Linked DNA regions of Mus musculus: all the other regions are reported to be linked to region 1. Evidence: microRNA targets listed by miRTarBase, many of them from high-throughput screens and not tested one by one. Region 1 holds a microRNA gene; each other region holds the end of a gene's coding sequence.
The links. Region 1 holds the annotated microRNA mmu-miR-26a-5p (UUCAAGUAAUCCAGGAUAGGCU, at 2,629-2,650, shown strand). A microRNA usually pairs through its seed, bases 2 to 8, with sites in the 3' UTR of a target mRNA and lowers its output. Matches are read on the target gene's strand: a 7mer-m8 pairs with bases 2 to 8, a 7mer-A1 pairs with bases 2 to 7 and ends in A, and an 8mer does both.

Region 2: the mRNA of Map2k4 is a reported target of mmu-miR-26a-5p. Seed matches in the 3' UTR shown: 7mer-m8 at 2,272-2,278.
Region 3: miRTarBase lists Dnm1 as a target of mmu-miR-26a-5p. The part of its 3' UTR that is shown has no 7-base or 8-base seed match.
Region 4: miRTarBase lists Dcun1d2 as a target of mmu-miR-26a-5p. Seed matches in the 3' UTR shown: 7mer-A1 at 2,193-2,199.
Region 5: the mRNA of Rnf138 is a reported target of mmu-miR-26a-5p. Seed matches in the 3' UTR shown: 7mer-A1 at 3,171-3,177.
Region 6: the mRNA of Dmxl1 is a reported target of mmu-miR-26a-5p. Seed matches in the 3' UTR shown: 7mer-m8 at 3,151-3,157, 7mer-A1 at 2,566-2,572, 7mer-m8 at 2,554-2,560 and 7mer-m8 at 1,564-1,570.
Region 7: miRTarBase lists Kpna2 as a target of mmu-miR-26a-5p. Seed matches in the 3' UTR shown: 8mer at 3,430-3,437.

The regions. Positions count from the first base shown.
Region 1 is chr10:126,992,915-126,996,981 of GRCm38, forward strand. Mir26a-2 (microRNA 26a-2) reads left to right here and starts at 2,616; the gene lies at 2,616-2,699. It overlaps Ctdsp2 (CTD (carboxy-terminal domain, RNA polymerase II, polypeptide A) small phosphatase 2), which reads left to right. Exons shown (of 8, transcript NM_001113470.1): 4 at 94-195; 5 at 938-994; 6 at 2,941-3,033; 7 at 3,112-3,297; 8 at 3,447-4,067. The coding sequence ends at 3,572.
Region 2 is chr11:65,687,166-65,691,232 of GRCm38, forward strand. It overlaps Map2k4 (mitogen-activated protein kinase kinase 4), which reads right to left. Exons shown (of 11, transcript NM_009157.5): 11 at 1,079-3,639. The coding sequence ends at 3,526. Among named protein-coding and RNA genes, the nearest start is that of Gm30786, 29 kb to the left of the region's middle.
Region 3 is chr2:32,306,871-32,310,937 of GRCm38, forward strand. Dnm1 (dynamin 1) reads right to left here. Exons shown (of 23, transcript NM_001301737.1): 22 at 3,581-3,617; 23 at 1,601-2,194. The coding sequence ends at 3,596. It overlaps Golga2 (golgi autoantigen, golgin subfamily a, 2), which reads left to right. Exons shown (of 26, transcript NM_001080968.2): 26 at 1-1,043. Among named protein-coding and RNA genes, the nearest start is that of Gm23363, 9.4 kb to the right of the region's middle.
Region 4 is chr8:13,254,156-13,258,222 of GRCm38, reverse strand. Dcun1d2 (DCN1, defective in cullin neddylation 1, domain containing 2 (S. cerevisiae)) reads left to right here. Exons shown (of 7, transcript NM_001024504.2): 7 at 247-2,260. The coding sequence ends at 326. Adprhl1 (ADP-ribosylhydrolase like 1) reads left to right here and starts at 4,061. Exons shown (of 7, transcript NM_172750.4): 1 at 4,061-4,067.
Region 5 is chr18:21,025,668-21,029,734 of GRCm38, reverse strand. It overlaps Rnf138 (ring finger protein 138), which reads right to left. Exons shown (of 7, transcript NM_207623.2): 7 at 1,511-3,649. The coding sequence ends at 3,581. Among named protein-coding and RNA genes, the nearest start is that of Rnf138, 26 kb to the right of the region's middle.
Region 6 is chr18:49,962,118-49,966,184 of GRCm38, reverse strand. It overlaps Dmxl1 (Dmx-like 1), which reads right to left. Exons shown (of 43, transcript NM_001081371.2): 43 at 712-4,012. The coding sequence ends at 3,788. Among named protein-coding and RNA genes, the nearest start is that of Gm33335, 65 kb to the left of the region's middle.
Region 7 is chr11:106,985,314-106,989,380 of GRCm38, forward strand. It overlaps Kpna2 (karyopherin (importin) alpha 2), which reads right to left. Exons shown (of 11, transcript NM_010655.3): 10 at 4,011-4,067; 11 at 3,316-3,666. The coding sequence ends at 3,574. Among named protein-coding and RNA genes, the nearest start is that of Gm39424, 12 kb to the right of the region's middle.

The sequences.
Region 1 (4,067 bases):
TGCAGGCAGCTTGGCTCTTCCCAGTGTTGTGCTGAGGGGCGATTGGGCTTACTTCTTGTTGGGCACAGCTCAGCAGCTTGGCTCTGCTTTTAGATCCCTGGGACCTGCCTGCTCCCCGAGGTGACAGAGCAAGATCAAGGCAGGATCTGCGTGGTCATTGACCTGGATGAGACCCTTGTGCACAGTTCCTTTAAGGTGAGTCAGCGTGGTACCCTTCCCTTGGGCCTGTGTGAGCCGCACAGCAGGGTCAGTAAGGTGAGCAGATGAACGTGGAAATGACAGGGACAGGACAGGCTGTCGGCCACCCTGGAGTCACAGATACCCAGAGGCCAAACTGAAGAGGTTAAGGCACACACACACACACACACACACACACACACACACACACACACCCCACCCTAAATGCTGTGTCTGTCTCGACTTACCGTGGAAAAAGTAGGTAAGCATTATCTGGTTTTCCTGACTGGTGCGTTTGTTAACTCAAGAAAGCCTTAAGTTGGGTGCAGAGGGAACTTCCACAATCCCTGTGCTTGGGAAACTGAGGCAGGGAAATCACAAGTTCCAGAATAACATGAGTTACCCAGTAAGAGCCAGTCAGTCTTGAAAGAGCCAGGCATGCATGCTTGTGTGCATAGCTCACGGAAACAGGAGATGAACACGGCTAGCCCAAAGAGCCAGGCATGCATGCCTGTGTGCATAGCTCATGAGAGCAGGAGGTGAAGGCTAGCCCAGACTATGTAGCAAGACCCCATCTCAAAAGCCCTGAAACTTACCTCAGGTAGAATTTGGTGGGTAGGATGGATGGGTGGATGAAGGAGAAGGGAAACCGGAAAATATGTGATACTTTTTGCCCTGTGCTGGCTAAGAACTGCTCAGTGGGCTGTCTCCAGGGGGTAGGGTTTCCTGTCTGCTGACACTGTGCACTTCTGCCTTCTAGCCGATCAACAATGCTGACTTCATAGTGCCTGTAGAGATTGAGGGGACCACGCACCAGGTGAGCTGTTTGCCAGCATACACCCTGCCTCAAAGGGAAACTGCCTCTCAACCTGTTTATCATCAGCTTCCATGTTTGTTGATGGCTTGTCTCCAGATCATCCACACTTCCCTCTAGCCAACACTCCTGTCTCTATGTAGTCAGGCTGTTTGCAAGAACTGTTGGCTTTTTTAAAAATATTTTTAAAGAATTATTTGTTTTATGTATATGAGTACACTTAACTGTATTCAGACACACCAGAAGAGGGCATTGGATTCCATTAGAGATGGTTGTGAGCCACCATGTGGTTGCTGGGATTTGAACTCAGGACCTCAGAAGAGCAGTCAATGCTCTTAACCACTGAGCCATCTCTCCAGCCCAGGATAGGGTCTCTTTATTTAATTCTAGCTGACTTGGACCTCACAGAGGGCTGGAGTTAATTAAAGGCCTTCACCATTGTGTGCAGCCCCTGGCATTTTCACATCATAGTCCTAGCCATCACTGTGGCTTTTTAAATGTGCATTACTGGTTTTGCCTGCGTGTGTGTCTGTGTGAGGGTGTCGAATCCCCTGGAACCAGAGTTACAGTTGTGAGCTGCCAGGGGTTGCTGGGAATTGAACCCAGCTCCTCAATGAAGAGCATATGCTGTCCAGCCCATGCAGTCCATGCTTAGACCAGGCGAGCCTTGCTCTGTGTGCAGGGCTGTTAGGATTTGCTCCTGTGCCCTCTGGTGAAGAGCTACTGAATGTGTCTTCCCTGGCCCAGGCCCCTCCTATGACACCTTTCTGACCTCTACACTGGTTTCTGTAAGTGCTCCATATGCATCTGTCAGAGTGGCAGAGTCCAGGCTCTGCCGTGTACACCCTGCTGCCTAGGGTTAAGGACCACGAGGCATTGGTGAGAGACCATGTGCCCAGAGGCATGCTGGTCGGCCCAGGGGAGGGCCGGAGACAGTGATGCAGACATCCTAGCAAGCATGAGACCTGTTTTCAGACTGAGAAAGTTCAGCTTGAGACTGTCCTGGGTTTGTCATCGTAGCCCTCTGCCCCTTTACGAACTTCTGTACAGAGCCTCGAAGCTGTGGCTCTTTACTCCACCCATCACCCCCTGCTGTCTAGTTGAGGAAATAGAAATGTACAGAATGTATGGGGCTCTGGCATGGGCAGAAGGGGCCTGAGTGAGAGGGCTGCCTGCCATGTGGATCTGAGGAGAGCCTGGGAGGAGAGCAATGCTTGGTGAGGAAGGGGCTTGTTTGTGAGGCTTAAGAAGTGGAAGGTGATGGATAGATCCATTTGCAGCTGCATGGAGGGTTCTGCTGCTAAATGGGAGGGCTCTGCTCAGTTGGTGCTGATGTGGGCTAGGAGGGACTGGGGTGGGCACACCCCCTGTGCTGCTTTAAGGAAGTGAGTGAGTGGGCCTAAGGAACACTTGTGCAGGCTGAAGTAAGAAAGAAAGAAGAAGCAGCAGATCATAGACTGGGTGGCGAGTTAGTTGAAGAACCTTTAAAAGCGAGCAAGTCCTCGAAGCTGGTGGTGTGCACACAAACCTACGAGGGTGTGTGTTTGAAGAAGTTTGTGGTTCTTGCCAGATGGGACCTACACAAGCCGTCCTGCTGGAATCCCGTACAGAAGGCTACTGTGGAGGCTGCGGCTGGATTCAAGTAATCCAGGATAGGCTGTGTCCGTCCATGAGGCCTGTTCTTGATTACTTGTTTCTGGAGGCAGCGCATGGTCTGCCCTCAATGAAGATGGCTCCTGGGAGTGCATTCCTTCCTGCCGGGTTAGGGTTGGGCCTGTTGAGGCAGCAGAAGCCTGGTAACATGGTAGAGCTGTCCATGGTGGGGCAGAGGTCTCAGTGTCTCGACCTGGGTATCTAGGCCTGCTTGCTTTTCTGTCAGTGCACAGGCAGAGCCGGTGCTGTGTCCTTGGCCTTGTGGGGTTCCTACAGCAATCCACTCTGTCTCCCAGGTATATGTGCTCAAGAGGCCTTACGTCGATGAGTTCCTGAGACGGATGGGGGAGCTCTTCGAATGTGTTCTCTTCACTGCCAGCTTGGCCAAGGTACCTGACTGCAGGAGGGGCAGAAGGCAGGGGAGAGCCAGCCCTCAGCCTAGGCTAAAGCTTCTCCTTCTTTTCCAGTATGCTGACCCTGTGACTGATCTCCTGGACCGGTGCGGGGTGTTCCGGGCCCGCCTGTTCCGAGAGGCTTGTGTGTTCCACCAGGGCTGCTATGTCAAGGACCTCAGCCGCCTGGGAAGGGACCTGAGGAAAACTGTCATCCTGGACAACTCCCCTGCATCTTACATCTTCCACCCAGAAAATGCAGTGAGTGCTCGCATCAGGGACTGGGGTGGCTGCAGGCTGGGCCCGTGGGCTTTATCAGAGGAGTCCACAACCCCTGTGTGGCCCAGCAGCCTCCAATGGCACTGGAAAGGAAAGGAAATATCAGATAATGTCACTTTTTCCTGCCCCAGGTGCCTGTGCAGTCCTGGTTTGATGACATGGCAGATACAGAGTTGCTGAACCTGATTCCAGTCTTCGAGGAGCTAAGTGGAACTGATGATGTCTACACCAGCCTTGGGCAGCTGCGGGCCCCTTAGCCTTCCTGCTCCAAGAAACGGCCATCCCAACAGGGGACTCTGCTACACTGTGCCTTTGTGGTCAGCCTCACTGACGGGGTCTGCAAGTAGCCAGGGCGTGTGGGACAAAAGCAGGTCACACGCAGAGCAGGAAATCAGACCAAGACCCAGAGCTCTCTGCACCCCGTGCTCAGTTCCCAGGTGGTTGTGTGGGTGTGTGTGCGTGCATGTGCCCGTCCGGTAAACTATGGTCCTGGGTGCCCAGTTGTGCAGTAGGGGGAGAAGCTGAAAGATAAGGACTCAACCCAAGTCATTTGTCTTCTTTCCTGCTATGCTGTGAGCTACTGAGCTTTACAGCCATGAAAACTATTGTAGGCTCCCTCGCCAAACCATGGCTTTCCCTCAGCATCAAGACCTGTGCCAAGGAGAAGGGAGAGGCCGGAGGCTGCTTTGGATGCCCAGACACACATCTTTCAGAAAACACAGAAACCTAGCCAGCAGCTGCAGACATGTTTG
Region 2 (4,067 bases), not on the chromosome of region 1:
AGAGCAGGCCTGGTGAGAGTCACAAATACAGGAGATCCAACAACTTCTCAGTCACACACTTCTATTGTTAAAGGTGATGGGGTTTTTATTCTTATTAGTCCTGGGGAGGGGCGTGTGTGCCACCTGTACCACCTGTGGAGGTCAGAGGACAACTTACAGGAGTTGGTTCTCCATTTCTACAATGTGGGTCCTGGGGACTGAACTCAAGTGTTGAGCTCCTCTATCTACTGAGCCACCTTGCCTGCCTTAGATAATGGGTTTTAAATAGCATGTTTTTATAGTTTTGGGTTTGAGTCTTTCAGCCTTTGTGTTCCCTACTAATACCTGAGGCAGAATTTTACTTCTGTAACCTCTTTCTGTTCTCTTATTTAGAAAGAATTTCCTACCCTGTGATTTTGGTGGGGTTGCACTCAGAATCAAATGAGATGAACAGACACAAGATATAGTCCTATGGAACGTGGAGTACACCTGTTCCTCCTGACACTGGCTCAAATGGGATGAGAACCTCTGAGGTACTACTTCCCTCAGCAGGCAACACTTAGCTAAGGAGCAAACACGAGAGGACACAGGACAGTGCTGAACCACTGTGGTATGACCAAGTAGGCATCAATGGCCATGGGAACACAGCAGAAAAACTCAGACTAGGTGGCTTCCCACCATTTCCAGGCTCCTGAGACTTTTGTGTTCACTTCCATTATGTAACCCTCCCACCCCACCCACCCCAAGGAGCTCCTCGGGCATGACCCCTATAGCCCTTTTTAACTGCAGTCTCCTCCTCACCCTGCTCTCCTCTCAGGTAGCAGTAAGAGATCCCATCTGACCTCTCACCCGGGAGTCTCAGCATCAGGAGCCTGGCTGGCCACACCAGGCCTAAGGTCACACCTGTCAACGCTGATACAGGTAGAACTGAACCTGCTTCCTGCAGCATTCTACAACCACAGTAGGTCCAGACACCCAAGTGCGAGCTTGAAAAGACTGCACCACAGCTGCTAAAAGAAAAAAGCAAGCTGTGCCACACTGTTACATCAGGGAAGAAGCAGAGGGAGGGGACGAATAAAGAAAAGAACCAGAAACTTCTGGAAGGAGATAACTCTCCTGTATATGAAATGCACAGATGATTTAATGTCATTTTTTCTTGAATTTCTTTCTCGGGGTATGACTGCAGAAAATCAGATTACAAGACCATCATCACAACCTAGATTTATTACAACTGACCTGCAGGCAAAGGGTAGACTATTCCATAAACATGTGGGCTCCATGGCTATGTCTTAAATAGAGGAAGGATTCAAACAAGAATACAGGATAAAATATTCCAAAGCTCCAAGAAGCAGTTATGTTACTGAGCTACATTTTTACAGACAAATAAGGCAATATCCCTGCACATCAGCTTTTTGATAATTTTTATATACTTTCATATGGTACAAGAGAAAAATAACCAGAGCTCACAATGTACAGTTCTTACACTATTTTCACAGTTTGTGAACACTATACACCCTTTTGTTTTAATAAAGATACATTGTAATAAATTCCTTGCCCTTAAGTTTATAGTTTATAATAATCTATGATTAATACACTAAAATTGCCTTTTTATGTGGCCGCCCACACAGCAGAAAGTGAGATAGCTCCTGGACAGTCAGAATTACTTTGATCTCCATTTGCATAACGGCAGAGTGAGGCTATACTGAGCCAGACAGGAAGCTGACAGCAGAGAAACAAATTCCTCTTGAGTCCTGGGAACAACGGAGGACAATGGCTTGGTGCAGCTTAAGGAAGACATCTCATGATGTCTCCTTGTGGAACACAGAGAATCTAAGGGTAGGGGGCCAGGGGTGGAAAATGGGAAAATTAGGCAAGTGGACCAAAAGATAGATCATTTTTAAATCCTCCAAAGAGAAGGGATGTAACTTCAAACAGCACCATTTTCCTTTTATTGTTTGATAGTACTTTGAGTGCCACTCTGGGGGAGACACAGCAGTGCCCACCAGGAATAGATCCTGGGAGGGCATCACCTGCATAGCAGGCATCCCCTGCACGGCAGACCACTACCAGTGCTGCTTAACTGCTATGCAGAGCCTGACGCTCAGTACCTGGCTAATGGGCTGAAGACAAGCAGCGGCACATAAGATGAAGTGGCTTCTTTTCGTTTTGTCTTTTTTGGGGGGTTTAGGTGGGTAGAATTCCACTTCCAAGGGAGAGAGTGAACTGGTAGAGGCCTCAGCAGGTGTCAGACATGCCTATCTGAAAGGCTGCCATTTAGGATCTTTATCCTGCTCAAGTATGCCTCTCCAACAGACTGCCTCTTTCTCACGTACAACATCAACTGGGCCCAGCTGTCTCAGCTTTCTGAACACCAGAGCACAGGAGAGATTCAGGGTTACAAATTGTGGTAAGTAGCATCCCTGGTAATGTTAGGGTTCCCAATGTGAAAAACAAGGCAGAATACTAGACTGAGCAAAAGCCGCATGGCGACAACGAACTGTGGGGAAGGGAAAGAGTTAGAAACTGAGGACCTGGCCCATGATGTCGAGAAGCAAAGCGTTGTGATTTGGTGTTTTGCTGCCTGCAGGAAATCTTCATCAAGGCACATTGCTACTAGCTAATTCTCCCTGTTAGTGAGTTACGATGGCTCAAGTCCCAGGCTTGGGGCCAAGGGGGAATCTATAGCTGCTACAAGCTGTTCTGGACAAAATGCCAGAATCAAAAACATCTGTAAACTTTGCCCTCAGTACTGTTTCCTTCCTTCAGTCCTGGTGGTTGGTGGCAGGTAGAGCATCAAGTTGGCAGCACCCTTCTATGACAGGTGGCAGACTCCTGTATCTTCCCAGAGAAGAGCAGGGCTGGAAAAGGACAAAGAACACATTCTGTCCTGTCTCAGTATTTTAATGTTGACCTCTCTGAAAGCAACATGGTTTTTGGTAAAGATAAATTCTAATTTAACATGATATTTTGAGTAGGGAATTTGGCTGAGCACATCGCGTGTGACGGTAAAGCAACAGCCTATCAGATGAGGAAATCTATTGCACTTGGTGAAGAAAGGGAATCCTTCCTCTGTCTCCCAGCTGCAGAAGGCAATGTGTCTCACTGGCTGTGCAAGCTCTTCTCACTCAAGCCCGGGTTCTCTATGCTCAGACAGTACATCCATGACTGTGTCTTTCCAGCCTTGGAAGTCTCACAAAACACCATTCCAGTAGCTGCGTCTCCAGGTTTTGAGTCTAGAAATGAATTAAGGTGTGATCTAATCACAGTCAACAACTTGATCGTACTGACTTCCACGCGTCATGAATATGTTCATCACAAAAGAGCAGGATGAGGTCTCTCTGACCAGCACTAACACTGTGATCAGTCAGGTATTACAGGGATGCACAGTCTAGATGACAGAAGTATACAGACATGATGGAAACGAACACCAGTCTTATTGCACATGGTGTCTGGGCGAGCAATAAAAACACTGTGATACAGGATGAAAACTCTTTACGTCTTGCTTCCCCTCAGCCCTTTTTTCTAGAGTCTGATGTAGCAGCGGTATCAGTCGACATACATGGGCGAGCTGGGAGTGGCTGGCATCTGATCCAGGATTTTACAAACATAGCATGCGACCTCTACAGTACGTTCTTCATACATCAAAATAAAGGGATGTTTCTGCGAGAAAATTGAACAGAGAAAGCGTCAAACATTTGTATCAGAGCCCTACGTCAGTGCTTCTCAATGTCTATACAATACAGTACTATAAGCTCCCAATCACACACAGCTTCAATATATCATAAGAACGGCACTCATCGCATGAACATTTCAGTGGATGGATGTGGACACCTTAAATGTGAGGTACTGCATCACCATCTGGAGGTTGCACCCTGGCAGTGAAGTCTCAGAACTGTGTACAGGGAGTATTTGCTAAAGAAGAAAACAGTTGTTTATTCCTTACCACACCACCTGAGATCCAAGGACTACAGGAATCTCAGTTGAGCTTCTTAGGACACTAGAGTAAGCCACTGGTAGCTCAAGGATCTTTGAAAAGGTTCTCAGTTTCAAACCTTCTGATTTCTACTTTTAAAAAAAGGCCAAGAGAG
Region 3 (4,067 bases), not on the chromosome of region 1:
CATCTACCTAGTGAGTTTGAGGCCACACTGGGCTACATGCGACCCTGTCTGAAAAAACCAAAAGATCAGGCTCCTATCTTAATGGGGGACACAGACTGGTACAGATCTGCCTCTTAGCCAGGGCAGTTTTACTTTGTAAATTCCTGTTACAGAAAGAACGCCAGAGACTCAGTGATGGAGCAGACTGTGCTGGGTGGCCTGGGGGCTTTCTCACCAAGGAGGGCCTCAGGCCTTACTCAGGACTCTGGGGCAGAACAGAGTGGCAGCATTCTCGTGCCCAGGTGCAGTGCAGGCTGGTAAACTGGCCTAGCATTCAGCAGGGCTTCTAAGTTTTCACCGGCTCAGTCCTCCCTATCCTCCTTTTCCTCCCCGCCCCCATTTTATCTTCATTTTCTTTACGGAGTGTCTCCTGTAGCCCGAGCTGAGCCCCTGCCTCACCGCTGTGCCTGGTGGTTGGCAGTGCTAAGCAGGCACTCTACCAAGTGATTTACCCCCAGCACTCCCTGCCTTTTTCCTTTGTGTGGTGATGCTGGGGATGGAACCCAGGGCACAGCAGGTCCCCAGATCAACTCCCATCTTCTCAGAGGCACTTTAGGGCAGTGGGGCTGGGCAGCACTTCATGGGTCCTCAGGCAGTTGGGGCTAACTGCCTCAGGAAGGCATCCCACTTTGGAGGGCTTCCATCTTTTTGAGGCACTTTGGGACAGGGAAAGTGGGTACCATTCTCTCAGGCCTTATGACAATTGGGGTAACTACGCCAAGCAGGACAGAGGCTGCTGGGGCAGGGTGGCCTTCCCCTCCCCCGGTGTACATATTGTACCTGTGTACTATTTTGTATATACCGGGGTAGGGACACCCCTGTATCATAGTGGAGGTTGGAGCTGGCAAATGGGAAGAGCTTCTAATAATCACTTTGGGCTGGGAACCTTATTTATTGGTAGTGTTAGGTCAGAGGGCAGGAGGCGGAGACAAGGTTGTGGCACCTGCTGATGCAGCTCCTCTTTATTTTGCTTTTTACTTGGGAAATAAATGGATTTAGCCATACTGCTGGGCCTAGGGTGTTCGTCATTGGTTCTGGGGTTAGCCTCAGGCTGGCACTGAGCAGGGAATGTGTCCTGCCTGGAGAGAGCAGGCTTCTGGCCTGTATGGAGCCCAAGGTCTGAAGTGCCTGGCAGGGCTGATTGACACCTATCACCTATACACTGCCTATTGAAGCCTAGGGACCCCAGGGGGAGTACCATGGGGCTACAGGGACAGAGCTTCCTTACTGAGTAAGAGAGTCAAGCCTGACATATAGTATACATAGGTGGGACTCGGGGTGCAGCAACTAAGGGCGCTGACTTCCAGGCCAGGCCTCTTACATTCCGACCCTTCCCCTTAGTCTGTCCACACTAGAGACCTGTTTTGTTCTTTAGGCTGTTCACAGCATCCTGGCTGAGCTCATGATACTGCCCCCTAGTGGTGTAAGCAGGATTCGTAGGATGAGGACCTGCTAAACTCACAAGCACCCTAGCAAGGGCCTTTCCTCACCCTCCATTCAGTGCCCAGTTTACACCGTCCTCTCAGCCCCAGAGAATACAAACCAGCAGAGGTACACGCAATTCCCCATGATCCAGAAATGGGTTTTATTCTCAGCCAAGAGACAGCAAGACTGGTGGCTACCAGAGAACTGCACAGCTGCTGCTGCTGCAGCATCCCCTTGCTGCAGGGTTGGGATGGCCAAGGGGATGGCTGTTCACAGGCCAGGAGGACAGGGGGGCTCACTGGAGGTGGTACACTGGAGGGGGGGTTGTCAGGATGACAGCGTTCCCTTGTTGGACCACAAGACTCCACAAGGACAGCATGGTGGTTGATTCTGACACTACAGGCGAGGCTGTGTCAGCCATATATATGTATATATATGTATATATAGGTATATTTATAGATATTTATAGAATGTCGCAGGAGCAATACCACAGAGGGGCACAAGTTTTCACCAACATCACATCTGGATGTGTCAGCTCACCACTACAACAGACTAAGTCACAGATGATGAATAGGACGCTTTGGGGCCGGGGGAGCCACTGTCAAGTCACAGAACAGCTGTCCAGGCAGGCTTGGTAAGGGAGGTCTCCGAGGAGTAGGAGGGATCTGGTTAGAGGTCGAAGGGGGGCCTGGGGCTCTCAGGACGGGACGGACTTGCCTGACCCGATCGGCTGGCAGTTGGAGAGAAAGCCGAGAGAGAACGGAAGAGAGAAAAGGAAGGAGAGCTGGTAAGGCAAGAGCAGCCACCTCCAGCAGAGGCAGGGGCTGAGGCAGGTGTGGATGTGGGCAGGGTTCCCGGAAGAGATGCACAGTTGATGAATGAAAGGGAAGATGGGGTGCTGGGCCGTAACTAGCAGGTAGTCTGAGTAGAGGCTGGTGGCCCTCTCTTGCCACACACACGGCCTCTCACACACCACCCAGGCAATGCACCACAGGGCCTCCCTCATTTTTGCTCACTGTCTCTCATCTCACTGGCTCAGGGCCACCCCAAGCCTCAGGGAGTCCCATGTAACAGCCATGAGGCCAGAAGTGCTTGAACCAGGAGATTGAAGCTAAAGGGGATGGCTGGAGGGAGCGCTGGAGGCCCCTCAGGTGGTCAGAAAGTCAGGAGTCCTCTGAGGGGACCCTGGGGAGGCTGGGAGGCAGGCAGCCGATGCCTGCGGCCACAGACTTATAAGTCTAAGAGGGGAGCCTCCGTTGGTCGGGGGGCTGCAGGTCTCGTAGGTGAGGCTGGGCCCTTCCTGCTGGGGAAAAGCAGAAGGGTGAGCGTCAATGGCTGGGGAAGAGTTGGGACAGGGTAACCGAGATCTGTGGCCAGCCAGGCAGAACTCAAGTTGACTTTCCCAGTCAGTAGACAATGCATTGCCTTCGGCTAAAAGGCACAGGTCACTCTGAAAACAGGTCAAATGTTGGAGCTGATGGGCTGGCTCTATGTCGGGGGCTGACGAGGTGGCTGTTAGCTACAGGTGTGCAATGTCAAGGATGAATGAGATCCTCACCTTGCCTGCGAGCCCTCAGGCGCTGGCAGAAAGGCAAAGGCTCTTAAGTTGTCTAAAGTCACCAGTCAGAGCCTGGCTTTGCCAGCGCGATTCTCATGCTTGCCCTGTGGTGAATTTAGTCGCCATGCTCCTAGGCTGGAAGGAGAAAGCTCTTATCTTGGCAGCATAGTTCAGAGTAGGTATGAAGAGGGGGTCCTAACGCTTCTGGCCCCTTCAGAGGCTGAAGACACCCTCTCCTAGTTCTTAGTCCCTACACTGTCAACAGTGGTCTGGTGTCTCCAGGGAGCACCCACATCTACCGTCTTGGACATGAAACCTGTTCCAAGAGCCCTCAGTTTAAGCAAGAAGGCCTTGAGTAGTGGCGCTGAGTCCCGAGGCTCACTGGAAAGGGAAGTGAGAGAGCCAGCTGGAAGAGGACAGGAAGAGGGAGTCCAGAGCTGCAGGAGAAGGAGGAGGGGCCTGGCTCAGGGGTCCCAGGTGTCCTCAGCATGGAGCTGGTGCAGCGAGGAGGGAGGGGTAGACACACTGTTCATGCAGCAGGCTGAGAGCATAACCTACCGTAGCTGACACTCCTCAGGGGTCACTGATAGTGATTCTGAAAGACAGCACGAAATCAACAGGGCAGTTCACAAACACACAGGTGGGCCAGGCTGGGGGTTAGGGGACACACACACGCACACGCCTGGGCGTGCACACACATGCTGTGAGGCCTTAAGGCCCTGCGTGCACACGTTAACACACATGCCCACAAACACGCATATATCTCCCTCCCACCTCCCAGTGCCCAGCACCATTGCCGGCCAATACGTCGTGCAGCACGGATCTGGGACATGCAGCCACTCAGCACACAGAAGCACACGCATGAGCTGTCACAACACAGAAGCTCGCCTGCACAGAGAAGGCCTTTGCACCAGCTCCCTGCACATCCAGGCCTGGTGTGCTGACAGGGTTACCATAGGGCTCCGTAAAGGACAGGGCTTGCACTTTAGGATCCAGCTGTCATTTCTTTGCTCAAGAACCTTCCATGGCTCCCTATATCATTGAG
Region 4 (4,067 bases), not on the chromosome of region 1:
CGGCTGAGGCCTGAGAAGCCACCATGTAGGCATGATCAGTGAATGTGGTCTCGAGGACATCAAGCCCACCACTCACTCACCCTATTTCCTGGAACAGAAGTGACTCAGCGAGTCATGTGATCAGACACAAGTTGCATAAGCTTCAGATTCCTTTGTTTCTTTAGATGTTAGAATGGGGAAAGAATATTTTTAATATAAAAATACTGGCATGAGACTTATTTTAAAAATCTGTTTGTTTCCCTTTAGGAGCATGGCCTGTCCTTATAGATGACTTTGTAGAATACGCACGGCCAGTGGTCACAGGCGGGAGACGCAGCCCTTTCTAGATGGAAAAGCCGGATGGCGGGTAGGATGGGCGTGTCTTGGAGGAGACAGCTGCGTGGGTTGCTGTGTGCATTTGTCGCTGACCTCAGAGTCTTCCTCGTCCACTCATGAAGCAAACCCTTACTCTGCTTAAAGGCTGCAGTGGCTGACGTGCAGACACACAGAAGCGCCTCGGGACATCGGGGACATGGGCAGACCTAGTGCTTTAGAAGCCGCCTGCATGACTTGTCTTTAGAGAAAGCAACGTAGACCCTGTTCGCAGGGCTGAGAGCTTGCTGTCCAGCTCCTGACGTTACGGTGAGCACCAGCCGTTTCCAAACTGGAATCATGTTACAGTTATGCTTCAAAGCAGCACCTGTGTCCTCAGAATGACGTATCTTTTACACAAGTCCAAGCTGTTAAACACACGCCTCAGGAAGGTGGCCTTGCCCGAGAGCCCACTGCTTTTAATCTTGGTATTCAAGATGGATAGTTTTGAATTATCAAATCTCTAGATTTACTAGATGCTTTGCTTTCATTTTCTCTAGAAGAGACTGTTGCAGTTTGCACAGGGTGGCTGGCACAGGATAGGTCCAGCAGGTTCATATCCAACTGTTGACAAGCTGGTCGGCCAGTTCACTTCTAATGAGGTTATCACTATAGGCCTGGATGCTGCCTCCTGAGAAGTTTCTTATTTTTTTAATATATTTTATATTTAAAAGGACGTTTTCCATGAGAAACACTTCTTTTTGAGTGATGAATTAGATTTACAAATCAGATGCACCAGTTCCCGTCACCTGTCTATGATGTTTTCAGTGCCCAGTGTCCAGCCCTTCGAAAGCCATATACATTTGGAAGCAAACATACGTCATCCAGAAGGAATCCACACCCAAAGCCCTGTCTCACCTGTCTGCGCCTGGGTCTGTGCCGTGTCACCGTGCCGTGTCACCATCTGCTTTTCCAGTGTTTTTCTGGTCAGCGTGCACTCATGCACACAGGCATAGAGGGCCTGGATCCTACCTGCTCATCTGGTGTCAAGCTTCGAACATCACTGTGCTGACCCTACCTCACACTTGCCAAGACTTGGTGTCACACGCGTGCCTTGCTGCCCAGCCTACAGGGCCGTGGGGCAGATATGCTGGGCCCACTTCAGGACAGGGGACTCGTCAATGCCTAAACACAGAAAGCATGCCCCATATGTGCTGTAGGGCAGCTCCTGGTACTGGGGCCTGCTCCTGGGGTAGGAAGCAGCTCTGAGGCATGCGTGCCCTACGAGGTGGACATTGCTAATGAACGGGAATCTCACAGGAGGTGGAGGGTCAGAACTGGAAACCAGTCTCCACAAAGCCAGCCCCTCGGTGCGTGAGATGACATCACTAGTGGCCTGTCAGCGCAGGTCTGTCAAGGGACAACCGGGACATCTTTGAGAGCGTACGTAACCAAACTGACTTAGTGAAAACCTGGAAAACAACTTCCTTCCAGGCTTTGTGGGTTCCTGACTTGTAGTTAACTTCTGTTCAGAGAAGTTTATAGATACAAAGAACTAAATCTTGAAGGTCTGCAATACATTCTTATTTCTAAGATTTAACATTCTTCAGGGAAAGGAGCAGTGATATGATTGAGCAGGTGAAGGCATGTGCTGCCCAGCCTGAGTTCAGTCCCTGCGAGCCACGTGGTGGAGGGGAGAAGTGACTTCTCCAGTTGTCCTCTGACCTCCACACATGTGCCATGAAATGCATGTACTCCCCACACACATGTACTCACACAGTAAAACAAATAGGCAAACAAGCATAAATAAGTTAAGTTCTATGGGATTGTCAATAGGCTGTGACATACCAGTAATTGATAAAGGCTTTTTAAACAATTGTGCTTTCTGTTCTCTTATTTACACTTGAATTGTGCATGTTACAGAAATGCTGAAAACTTCAGACATAGTAAATAAAATATTTTCCCTGGTGTTGTGATGTCCTTTATTCTTGGTTGCACAAATACCTACCTGTGCACATCAAGGTCCTGGGCTTTGTCTTGGAGCAACAGAAAGAGCCTCTGTAGTGACAGCAAGCAAGCCCTTGCCACATTGCATCCTCACCAGGTAAGTAGCATGTTGGAGACAGACAGACAGCTCCATCCCTCCAGGTCGCTTTCTCTGCCCAATATGCTGGAATGTGGGGGCCGTCTATCAGAATATGCTACTACAGCTAAGATTATATCTAGAACATATTTACCCAACACCACAGGTTTAGGAGATGCATGTAATCTGTTCCACTTCCCAGAGGAGACAGCATACTCCTTGTCTAAGTGACGTAGGTGCTGAGTTGTGGTAGTTTAAATGTTCAGTGCAGTTCATACTTGATGCTCTGTGGGCGCAGAAGTCAACTTCCCAGCTTCTTTTGCTGTGCCTAGCATCCTGTAACAGAAGGGGCTCTGTGAATGTCAGGTAGACAGACTAGTGAGGCAGCCTTATCTTGTGTGTGATTTTGACCGAATAGTGTAGAAGTGGTTTCCAAACATCCACAACAAAGCCTCTCCCAAGAGTCCTTGGACCTCACTCCTTGAGCCAGGTCACACTTGTCCATAAGTTGGTACACCGTAAGTGGGAGCTGGCTCCTGCTGGCTTCTGCTGTTTGTCTGTCTGGATGGGAGCTATGTACCTTCTGGATTTGTGGGACTGCTTCAGACTGAGAGTTGGGCCAGCAGGAAGGGCGTCTTGTTACACACTAAAGTTCTTTCCAATTGTATTCTAAGTCCAAGTGATGCACTGCCAATTCTGGGTGACAGATTTACGTCACAAGAGGGCCAGCAATGTCTGAGGCTGCAAGGTTTGTGCTTGAGACAGGGTATAGGGAGGTGGTTGACCTAGGTCATTTCAAACCAAGAAGCCTGGCTTTATAAAGTGCACCTATCCATCCTCATTATTTAATAATTCCATGAGCAGGCAGTGATGTTTACAACAAGTGAAGTTTGTTTGTATAGACACGCATCACTAAAGGTTAGCACTGGAGCCCCTTACTGGACACTAAGTTGTGAGAGAACACTTTTTCACAGGAGCTGGGAGTTCTCGTTCTTGTAAGGTTTTCTCTCATGTCATGGTTTTAATGGAACTGAGGATCAGACCAAGGGCCTTGTATACATTAGGTAACATTGCTCTGTCGGGTCTACTGCAGCCCACAGCCCTCAATTTTATAATAAGGGATGGGTTTTGTTTGTTTTTTGTTGTTGGTTTTTTTTTTGTTTTGTTTTTTTTGTTTTGTTTTTGAGGCAGGGTTCCTCTGTGTAGCCCTGGCTGTCCTGGAACTCACTCTGTAGACCTGGTTGGCCTCAAACTCAGGGATCCACCTGCCCCTGCCTCCTGAATGCTGAATGCTGAAACTAGAGGCGTGTATCACCACTGCCCAGCCAGAAAAGTTTTCTAAAAGCATAAAACTACAATGGGTGGGCCTCAGTTTTATGCTGAGTGAAAGAGGGCAGACAAGAAGGGGCAAAAGGAGTGTGTCTGTCTGAAGGTAGGGCAGAGCAGATGGTCAAGGAACCGGGATGGAGCAGTATGTTCTCATTGTGGTATGTCGCTCTGCCAGCAGGGGGCACAACTCACCAAGGTGCTGACAGAGTAGCACAGCTCACGGGCTCTGAGCTGGGCTGAGCTGGCTGGGTGTACACTGGTGCCAGCAGACTCCTTTGCTGGAGAGCCAGCGTGTCCCAAACAGCTCCCACGTGGTGAGCTCTGAGCCTTTATCTCATTGGTGCCACCTGCCAAGGCAGGGAAG
Region 5 (4,067 bases), not on the chromosome of region 1:
TGGTTTGTACCTTAGCAGGATTGGAATACACAGTTATCTTTTACTAGCGAGGATAAGTGTGGATGGCCTCTCTCAAGCCCACAGCAGGCAAGTGCTGTTAGATGTGGAGGGCTGGTCATTCTCTTTTCACAAGGCCCTTGTATCTGTCATTAAAAAAAAATTAAATAATGGGGTATTTTCTTGCCACACTGCCATAGAGGTCAGGGAACAACTTTGTGGAAGTTAATTCTTTCCTTTTAGTATATAGTTCTAGGAATCAAACTCTAGTTGCAAAGCTTTGTCAGCAAGTACTTTGTAACTACCTTGTGAGTCACATCCCTGACCCTCTCTCTATCCCCCCTTTACTCTCTAAATACCTTTTAAAATAGATTTGTAAGTGTGTTTTACCTACATGTACAGATGCCCTGAAAATGGAGTTATGTCTGGATATGAACCACCTTGAGTCCTGGGAACAAAACCCAAGTCCCCTACAAGAACAAGTGCTCCTAACTACTGAGCCATCTCTCCAGCTCTCAATATACAACCTATTATGCTTTGTTTCCATTCTCCTTTCCCCAGTACTGTAGAACTGAAACTACAAAACAGGTATAATCGTGCAATATACCCACCTCTACTACAAACTGTACATGGATCTTTGGGTGTTTGCCAGGACACACCTTTTCTACATAAGCTACAATAGCATTACTTTGATGAGTCTATTTGAATATAAGATCTACAATTCACTGAAGATAGCAATACTTACCAAAAGCAACCCAACACAGAGATGCAAAATATTCTTAGAGCCCTATCTTGACTATAGCTGATTTCTTCACATTAAACGTGTCAACTAGCTGACCTTTTGCTTGAATGCTAACAGGACTTTGTAGCCTCCCCCAGCCTGGAGTAGGCTGACTTTGACCTTGTTGCCAATGAGAATGAGACGATCTGGGGTGGACTTAGATGGCTCTATTGTTCTGTCACCTGCCACTGCCCTTCTCCAAGACCTGCTGAGAGGCCCCTGAGATATTCAGGAGACAGCACTCAACACATCCGCCTACAGGCTGGTAACAGGCATCTAGAATGGATTGGCGGGGGGGGGGGGGGGGGGGGGGGGTGGGCCTCCTCCCTTTATAAGCACAGACTCTTAGTAAACTTTGGGGGGCCTTGAACAGAAACATGTCTTGGCCTCCATTATTTCTCTCACCGTTTCCTTCCATACAGCTCCTGCCTCCCACTCAGGTACCCACCCAGTTAGTGTGGCCGCAGCGGTTACAGGACTTGAAATATCTTGCTGAATGGACACTTTATGAAATGGCTTAATGCAGATGTTTAACACTGGAAATACATAAAAACAAAATTTTATACCCACTGTGTATTAAATTTTAACCCAATGTATAGTGGTAATATCAGCACTTAGCAGCCTGACAACTTTTTCAAGTGAAAATAATGGAAAATCTCCTACATGTTTTGCAGGGTCTTATGAGACCTAAAAATGTCTGTCTGAGGACAAATTTTAATTAAGACACACAAGTAGGAGAAAACCATTTTAATTGAAAAGTAAAGCAATACATCTCAATCAACACTGTGTTTATGGACATAAACTAAACTAAGTTGAAGGAGAAGTGGCTTTTCTAACTGGTACTGTGAAACTGATGTATCAGCATATTGCTATAGTTTCTCTCCTTTATCCTGATAGCTATTAAACATGACTACTGAGGTGCGCCCCCATAAATTAAATTCTAAAGTCAATCCTTATTCTTAATCCACTGACAAAAGAAGAATTAAAAAGTTTTTTCTATATTTAAGAAGTTACTAATGCAAAAAAAAAGATAATTCTCATGAAAAAGCTATTAATCTATTAATATAACTCATCCACAAGACTTCAAAACAGGAACCCTCTCTAGTACAAGTTTCCCTTTAAGTTTGTACATCCCAGGATGATTTAGGAGCACACTGGCTAAATAAAACTTTAAAAGTATCCAAGTTATTGCTTTAAACTAGAGGACTGTGGACAGAAGTCTCCTTTTAAAGGGTTCATCATATAGATGTTCCTAGAATTACTCTTGTATGTCAACTCAAAGTGCTAGAGAACACAGTAAACATCACGCTCAAGAAACAACAGAAAAAAAGGCATTAAGATGTATGGCTTCTTGTGAGTCTATATTACTGAACATAAATAAAGTCATTACCGTTTAACTGAAAAAGGTTTTTTACAAAACTGCACATCCAAAATTAACATTTTTATTAAATCAAGTTTAAAAATGTTCATTGTAGAAAAGTCAACAAGGGTATTAAGAAAATCAAAATATACCTTTTTTTTTTACAATATATGTATATATTAGCAGCAAACTACTTCAGAGATTTTCTTTTGCGGTTAGTTATTTTAAAGAAAGCATAACAGTGTTATGTTAGTGTGGAATGTCAGAATTCCCCCTTCACCCTTTACTTTGTGACTTGGCCTTCTCTACAACACTTTATACCAAAGATTAAGAACAAACTTTGTTTTGACTAAAATGTAGTGAAACAGTAGCTGGTAAAATCTCTCACCACACGTCAGTTATGCATCATTTTCAAACGTAACAAGTGAGCACCATTTAACATTTTTCAGGTGTAATAACAGCCAACTGTACCACATAGTATTTGGCTTACTGTTTTAAAAACTTGGTAACATACAAAATTTTAAACAAAGGAGATAAATACTTCAATCCTATATTGCTTGTCCATTATTAAAACTTTTTAATAGAAATTCTATACATAACCTGACAAACTCTAGGCAAAGATATATATGTGTATATATACATGCAAAAGTCTATGTACATATCCACATACATCTGCAACTTTGGATTTTTAAAAAACTAATTGAATGTATCATTCACTGGCTGAAAAGTTTCATCACCCAGTGAGAAATACTGACTACAAAGAACTGTGGTATATAACATTTAGGCTTACAAATTATTCAACCTAGATTGAAATAACAAACTAACCACCAAAGGAAACTTCTCTTGATGTTCTTCTAATAGCAAAAGAAGAAACATTTGTACAATATGCTTTCAAAGTAAAAATTATTAAAGAAATCTCACTAGTCTTCAAAAATACTAAACATTACATAAATACAACTTTCTTATTGTTGAATTCCTCAGCTAGAATCTATACTTTAAAAAAAAATCCCTTTGGATTATCCCACTTCACACTTCAAGTTTCCATTCTACAGCTCTGACAAATGGCTCAGGTTTATTAGCTTTTTAAGAATCACATCGTTCAGAATTTGCTGTTATCTCTGTACTAAACAGAAGGAACTATATCAAATACCAAAAACAACTTAATGAAACATTGAGAATATGTAATACAAGGAAGAAAAAGACAACAGAGATTCTCTTTTCACCACACAAGTGAAATACAACCCTTTCCATGCTGTTAAAGTAACTGTCTAGAGAATGGTATTAGGGTGGCCCACCTTTATTTTCAATTAAAAACCTAATACAGTAGACTGAATTATTATTTTTATTAATATGCACAGCAAATTACTGAAAATGGTGACTTCATGTCTTCTCCTTAAAGATGGCACTTGTAGGTTGCAAGGAGGCAGAGATGTCTATACATGTCACATGTTTACTTGAAAAGACTCTTCCACAGCAGTTTGATATTGGGTTTCCTCATCTAGCTGAAGATTCTTAAAAAAAAAAAAAAGTAATGTGTCAACAAGAAAGTTATCAACTATTCAGTTTTATCTAATGCATTACAAATCTTCATATACATTTGCATACAAGGAGTTTATGGACAGTATGCCTTAAAATGCAAGATTGAACACCATGGTATGTGTCATACTCTCAGCCACTCAGGAACCTGAGGCAGGAGGATACCTTGAGCCTAGTAATTTGAAACCAGCATGGACATAATGGGACCCCATCTCAAAAATTAATGTAACGAAATATAAGGTTTCAATACATGAACTTTAAAAAGTTTAAGTTCAGCTATAATTATTTAGTAATAACTAATAACTGTTCTGCTCAGCAGAGGATACTTTATACTAATCAAAATTATACTTAATTAAAACTAATAATATGGTAAATATGTATCACTTCTACAAA
Region 6 (4,067 bases), not on the chromosome of region 1:
TCAGTAGACAACTTGAGGAAGCTGGTTCATTTTTATTTGTGGATTCTGGGGATCAAATTCAGGTAGGTTATCGGTTTTGGGTATTTACTTCTTTTTTTTTTTTCTTTTCTTTTTCTTTTTTTCTTTTTTTCTTACGTATTTTCCTTAATTACATTTCCAATGCTATCGCAAAAGTCTCCCACACCCTTCCCCGCCCCCCCACTCCCCTACCCACCCATTCCCATTTTTTGGCCCTGGCGTTCCCCTGTACTGGGGCATAAAAAGTTTGCCTGTCCAGTGGGCCTCTCTTTCCAGTGATGGCCGACTAGGCCATCTTTTGATACATATGCAGCTAGAGTCAAGAGCTCCAGGGTACTGGTTAGTTCATAATGTTGCACCTACAGGGTTGCAGATCTCTTTAGCTCCTTGTATACTTTCTCTAGCTCCTCCATTGGGGGCCCTGTGATCCATCCAATAGTTGACTGTGAGCATCCACTTCTGTGTTTGCTAGGCCCCGGCCTAGTCTCACAAGAGACAGCTATATCAAGGTCCTTGCAACAAACGCTTGCTAGTGTATGCAATGGTGTCATCGTTTGGAGGCTAATTATGGGATGGATCCCTGGATATGGCAGTCTCTTGATGGTCCATCCGGGTATTTACTTCTTTTCACACACTTTTTTTAAAATTTAAAGCCAAAAGACTCTTTCACTTTAACACTTAAGAGCCACTGTATGGTTGTTAATTGGTCTAATTTTAATATTGCATCTCAATGGATAGGAAGATCTAAAGAGACAAAGACTGGGGAACAAAGAGTCATGGAGCAATCAAAATGCATTTATGTGAGTAAGTTTGCAGTGTTCTATGTGTATAGGTCAGGATATCCCAAAATAATGTGATCAAACCAATACAGTGATAATTATAGTTTGAAATATTGTAAGAATTACTATAATGTGACAGCTATGAAGCAACTTTGCACCATTTGAAAATGGTGTTGATAGTCATGCGCAGTTGAGACAAACCTTAAATTTGTAAAACATTCATATTATCTTCAAAGCACAATAAAATGTTATGTCTATTCATAATTTTTTTCTTGTGAGATTACACTAACTACTATTAAGGCCATTTAATATTTTATTAACTTTTAATGTGCTGCCCTGTTATTCAGTTTGACTTTCTCTAATAACATAAAAGTTATACCACATACAGAGTCACTAACACACCTCTCCACAAATATTTCTTGTAGTTGACTTGGTTTTTAACTGGCTGTGGTTCTTTCTCATAAGATATTTAAATTTCTTGTTTTGTAACGTATGTTTGCCTAGGTTTCTAGCCTTTTAATCATACCATTGCCACTTTCAGGCTGTATAAGCATTTTCTGAAATGTCTAATTATATTGTTTCAGTCAATGAGATCCACTTGAACATTTTTGCTGTTTTAAAAAACAAGCAAACCTCATTTTTAACTAAAGAATGTCTGTAAGGGTGACCTGCTGACTTGGTTTACACCAATCCCTTTAAAGTTCTGGTAAGCACAACAGCAAATGTTCTATCTTAGCTAAAAGCAAACTGTGGGACCAAAGGAAAATCAAGTAAGCAGTGTTTCACGGTGGTAAGAGAAATCCAGTATTTTAGAACATGAGACCTGCCATGTTATAAATCTCTGTAACATGACTCTATGAAAACAGAGCATGTAAGTTAATTGTGATGTGACCATTTCATTTGTGTGGATAATGAAAATTTAAGTGTATTTGTATTATTTTCTATACACATTTCAATTATTTAATGAGCACCCATTAAGTAAAAAATATTGTAGAAAATAACAAGAAGGTATTTGAGGAAATTAAATTATCTCTTCAATCATCACATATAGAAATTCTGAATTTAAAAGTCACATAATTAAAATCAACTAAACTGGCAGAAGTATTTCTTAAAACAAAAGCATGCGAAAAAAATCACTGCATGATTGTTTATTTAAAATATGACTCTGGATGTAAATACATATGGACTTACATAATGTTGTTATTCATATAAACTCTCAATTAAAATGCTCAATAGATCATCCCTGAAGCATTTTGATTTTAATAAACACGATAGTAAATTTTCTTTCTTATGGAAAGTGTTTAAAGCCTTTTGAATCTTGATTTGTGAAGAGATTACTAAAAAATAACTTAGCTACATCAAAGAAAATATTGTTTGTAATGTTGTCACAGATTCCTCCATGGCAAATAGTCATATATTGCTATTGCACAATTTACAGGTACAGTTTACTCTGTGCATATAAACTCTCTATAATGACAGTGTTTTCACTGTAACTTGCTCACTATATTTAAAATATGAAATACAATTACAAAACCTTTAACAATACACTTTTATAATAAAAGTATCCTGAGGATATTACAAAATTCATTTACCAGCCCTTCATTTCTTTGCTTTGACTCTTCAATTCCTAATAGTTTTCCATATTTCATTACATAAAAATGGCCATTTCTGGTTCTAACTAAAAATAAATTTGAGCTAAATAGTATGTAACTGTCCCTTAAACACTTATTCTACAGCCAGTCTCATTGGCTAAAAATCAAGTATTTTTTTCAAGTTTTTTTTTATAATTCTGAATCAGAAAAGATATAGCACAAAACAGACAGAAATAGGGTTATCATATTTAAGATAGAGGCATTGTAAATTTTAAATATTTTGGTCAAATTTTATAATAAAATAATATTTTGGCAAAATAATAAAATATAACATTTATTTCCTATCAATGTAGATCTGCAGGGCATTGTACATTTGTAAATACTATACTTAAATTGACTGTTTTCACATTTGATTCTAAAAACACTGCTATAACATTTTTAGAATTTTTAGACTAAATTCATCTTAAAAGAAATAAAATTAAAACAAAATTTAACTAAAATGTCTGATCATCAAAACTGCTGACAAATTTTTAATATAAAATGCCTTGTGTGCCACACAACATCTTTATTGCCTACTGAGACTTATTTGATTCAGTATCTTTAAAATAATAATAATAAATTTAAAGCTTCTTAAAAGTAACATTAAGGTTAAAATAATTTAAAAACTTAAAAAAAAACCAAGAGTTTTATACTGCGGCAGTAGGTGTTATGGCACAAAATACATGAAAAGACTTGTAGCTTCTGTTTCTGTATATACAATATCAAGTAAGATGTATAAGATATATATATATATACACATATGCACACATATATACATACACATAAATACATTTACATATACACTTCTGGGTTATAGGAGGGAAAGAGAAAAACGAATAAACTCTTGGATTCTCTTATCACTGAAGTCCCAACAGCAGTTTTAGTGACAATGTCTTATCTTATCTGTATTTATATGAAGTTTTCATTATTAACAGGAAAACAATTAGAGCTGTCTGTGTGACAGAGAAGTGAGAAGGTGGAGAGTTCAGTGGTGAGTGTTCTCTTGGTCGGCACCTCTCTTAAGGGTTTTACTGTCTGTGGACTTCATGCAGCAGTGCTTGCAGAATTTATAACAATGAGAAAACAAAGTCTCTCTAACACGATGGCATGTTTACTAAAATATACTTTGAATAAGTACGGATACAACATTACTCATACACTCTATGTTAGGCAATAATATCTAACGCTGAATGACCTGTTATCTCTTAAGGCATCAGTGCATCAAGGGCAAAGCTCCATAAAATAAATATGAAAACAAGAAAGCATTAGTTCATCCATGGTGCAGGTGATTACTGTGCATTGCATCTGCTCGCTACTTCTACAAACAGGTAATAAATCATATACCCTCTTGTGAAAATGTTATAGCATAAATTTCACATCATTTTTCAACACCTCGTTTAAAGGGCTAAACTGATCCGGCAGGATCCTCATTTTCATTGTTCCATCAGCTCCACAAGAGAAAATGTGATTTGCTGGTCCTGTCTCAATTTGCATGACTCCAGTTCCAATATTTCTAAAAATAGACTGCCGAGCGTGTTCATTGATAAAAGTATGGAGAAGACTAAAGGACGAAAGACTCCAAATCTGAAAGATATGAAGGACAAAATGAAAGTGGAGGCTGGTGATTGATTTATGAATT
Region 7 (4,067 bases), not on the chromosome of region 1:
GGAGGATTCAGGTATCTTTTTTTGTTTGTTTTGTTTTGTATTTTGAGACAGGGTTTCTCTGTGTAGCCCTGGCTGTCCTGGCTGTCACTTTGTAGACCATGCTGGCATCAAACTCAGTAATCTGCCTGCCTCTGCCTCCCAAGTGCTGGGATTAAAGGCGTGCACCACCATGCCCGGCTCAGGTATCTTTTTTGCACTCACTCCATGCTTTGGAGTGGACTTTGACCATGCTCCAATGATTATTTGGGTAATGCAAATTGGACATGCTGTATTGGGGGGGGGAATGTGGGGACCCAAAGGTGGGAGGGTAGATCTGAGAGGAATAAAAAGGGAGTGTGAGGGCTGGTGAGATGGCTCAGTGGGTAAGAGCACCTGACTGCTCTTCTGAAGGTCAGGAGTTCAAATCCCAGCAACCACATGGTGACTCACAACCATCTGTAACGAGATCTGACTCCCTCTTCTGGAGTGTCTGAGGACAGCAACAGTGTACTTACATATAATAAATAAATAAATCTTTAAAAAAAAGTATTAAAAAAAAAGGTAGTATGATATATAAATTTCCCCCAAAATCAATAAAAATGTTTGCGGGAAAATGTTTATTTTTATTTATGTGTCTATGTGGGGGAGAGTCACGCATGCCACGTGTACAAATGTCACAGGCATGCAGGTTCCCTCAGGCATAAGAAGGGAGCTGGAGTCACAGGCGGTGGTTATGAACCACTGATGCAGATGTGGAGGACTGAACTCAGGCCCTCTGAAAGAGAGCAGGCTGTATGCCTAACAGCTGTGCCATCTCTCTGGCTCCTCCACAGAGCCTCGATGTACAGCTGGGGCTTCCCTGAAACACCAGTGCTTCCAGGCTCTGGCTCGCTCAGGGCAGACAGCTACCACCGAGAGCTTGGCAGCAATATACTCATCAGTCCAGAGGGCGGGGTGCATGTAATTCACATACAGTCTAGGAAATTGTCCCAAGGATTTAGTAGGAACTAGGGGTTTGCAGACATCAGAATGATACTTTCAAACTATGCCAACACCACTGCATTTAACACACAAATGCTTGCAACTCAACTGCACTGCTGCCCCTCAAAGCCCTACTTGATAGACTGGGTGGTTTTTGTCATTTCAAAAAAAAAAAAAAAAAAAACCAGCCAGGTGTGGTGGTGGCACACGCCTTTAATCCTAGCACTCGGGAGACAGAGGCAGGCGGATTTCTGAGTTCGAGGCCAGCCTGGTCTACAAAGTGAGTTCCAGGACAGCCATGGCTATACAGAGAAACCCTGTCTTGAAAAACAAAACATTAAATCCTTGATGTTCTAGAACACTTTTCACTAACACTCCTAGGGGTGGGAGTGGGGAATATTGGGAAGGAGGATGACATCACACGGCCAGGTTTTTGTTCATTACAAATTAGGTCAACAACCCAATTTCAAAAGAAGGCCCCAGTAATTGATATGACCTAAAAGCTTCCCAAAACCAGTCCACTGGGTTTGGGCAAGGGCAGAGGGAGGGAACTAGCCAGTTGTTGTAGCCCCTAATGCCTCTGAACGTGGGCCCACCCACTCACTGAGGTTTCCAGGCTTTGTATAAACAAAACCCAAGAGCTTGGTGGGATGGAAAGAAACTAATACCATCTGGGCAAAGAATTTTGGCTTCTTAATTTACTTAGTTCTGGGAAATAAAAAAATAAAAAAATAAAAGCTAAGAAAAGCCAAATTGAGAAAGTGAAAACCTGACAGTCTCATCCGCTGAGGCTGACCTCAAGCTTACTGCCTAATGGAGGATGGCTATGAGCCCTGCCTCCTCCTGCCTCCAGCGAACCACTGTCATAGTTAGCCATGGTTGTCAACTTGACCTCAACTGAGCTGCGGCCTCTATTGTGTCTGTAGGACCTTTTCTGGATTGCTCATTGTCACAGGTGGGCTAGCCTACTGTAGTCTATGGAAGGTTTCTGTTGAGCAAACCAGAGGAAACAAGGCACTAAACCGGGTTCTTCTGCTTCAGGTTTTGTCTCCAGGTTCCTGGCCTGGCTTCTCTGTAACCTATAAGCTTAATAAATCCTTCCCTCCACAAATCCCTTTGGTTATGGTATTTTTATCTCAGCAACAGAAGCACACAAGGGCAACCACCACGCCCACTTTACATGGTGCTGGTAATCCAACCCAGGGCTTTATCTGTACTGGTCAACTGAACTATAACCCAGCCTGGCAAGTTTGTTTCGCTTTGAAAGTCTCACCATATAACTCTGGGTGATCTAGAATTCATAAAGCCACCTGCCTCTGCCCCTATGTGCTGGAAGCAATATCCTTTTTATTTAACAAGATGGAGAGCTGGAGAGCTGGGTCACTGGCTAAGAACACTTAGCCAATCTCTAGAAACAGCTCAGCAGTTGAAAGAGCACTTGTTCCTGGAGAGGACCCAGGTTCACTTCCCAGCACCTACATAGCAGCTCATAACTGCAACTCCACATGCATGTGTACACTGACATACATACTGGCACGACATCATAAATCAAAACGGAAGCTCATGTGCACACCTTTAATCCTAGCACTTGGGAGGTAGATGCAGGATGATCTAAGTTTGAGACCATCTTGGTCTACATATTATGCCCTAAGACAGCCTGGACTACATAGAGATCTTGTCTCAAACCAAAAACTTTACAAGAAACCAGGGCTGGAGACAGCTCAGTGGTTGAGAATACTTGCTGTTCTTACAATAAGACCAGAGTTCATTGTGAGCATCTCCATTTGGCAGTTCCAACGTCAACTCCAGTTCCAGAGGCTCTAACAACCCTCCTCTGGCCTCTGTAGGCATGCACATGATATACATGTAGACGAAACACAACTAGAAATTGATACCAAAGAAATTTTGGTACATCACTAAACCTGTACCTATTTAGACACTGACACCATGAAGAGGAATCAGTGGCTGTGTAGTACTTCCATTACACCCAGTGGATATGAAAAGCCATTCTGCCATAGAGAATTTGGCTCACAGGGTCATGAAACAAAAACATGCGTTTTGGACTTCTGAGGAAAGTCTCTGCTAAGAATTTATTCTCATAGGAAGCAATGCATTTAGATGTCAACTATATCCTATTACCTCACTGGAGTCATACCGGTAACACATCCAGGCCTCACACTTTTTCAAGACAGGGATTCTCTGTGTAGCCCTGGCTGTCCTGGAACTCACTCTGTACACCAGGCTAGCCTTGAACTCAGAAATCTGCCTGCCTCTGCCACCACTGCCTCACTTTCAATCAACATCTCCTATTCACCTTTCACTTCCAACAGTAATCTCAATTAAGAAAACAGCAAGTCAGAGTAAAGAATGGAACTTTAATCTTTATTTACAGGACATGACAGGGTACGAAATTCCACATAGAAATAAATTCAGAGGACAGCTTCATAGAGTATGTACAGTTTATAACTGTTCAAGTATAGTTTCTTTTGTAAAAAGTGCTACAATAACAAACCACATTTAAAAAGAGTTCTTAGTAGAGAAACAGTAAGACAAATCTATGAGAACACAGAATAGCACAGCACATAGCTAACAACTTTGTGCCTTAGCTGGACATTAGAAGTTAAAGGTCCCAGGAGCTCCATCCTGAACTTGGAAGGCGAAGCCTTCAGAGGTAGTTTCTGGCACCACATTTTGATCTTCCTCTTCCTGGAAATAGTAAGGTAAGATATAACCATAAACATGGTACATCTCTAGCAGAACCCTGTCTCAAAGCCTGCACCTAGCAGAAAACTTGTTGCCAAAGCTTAGCTAACTCATGAATGCTGGGACAATTCCAGGCTGTTCATATAACCATCATATACCATCAAGCCAGTACTAGCCACACGTGCGCGCACCCACCCACCCACACACAGCAAATCTTGGCTGCACTGATGCTTGTTCTTTGTGATAGGGTAATGTAAGAATCATATACAAAGGATCAAGCCCATTGGCTTGAAGGTACTTGTGAATTCTCATATCCTTTCCATGTTGTGGACATGGCCATTACTTACCTCCACTGAGAAGTACTTCTCAATTAAGTTCAATGAGGCCTTGTATACAGACTCGTT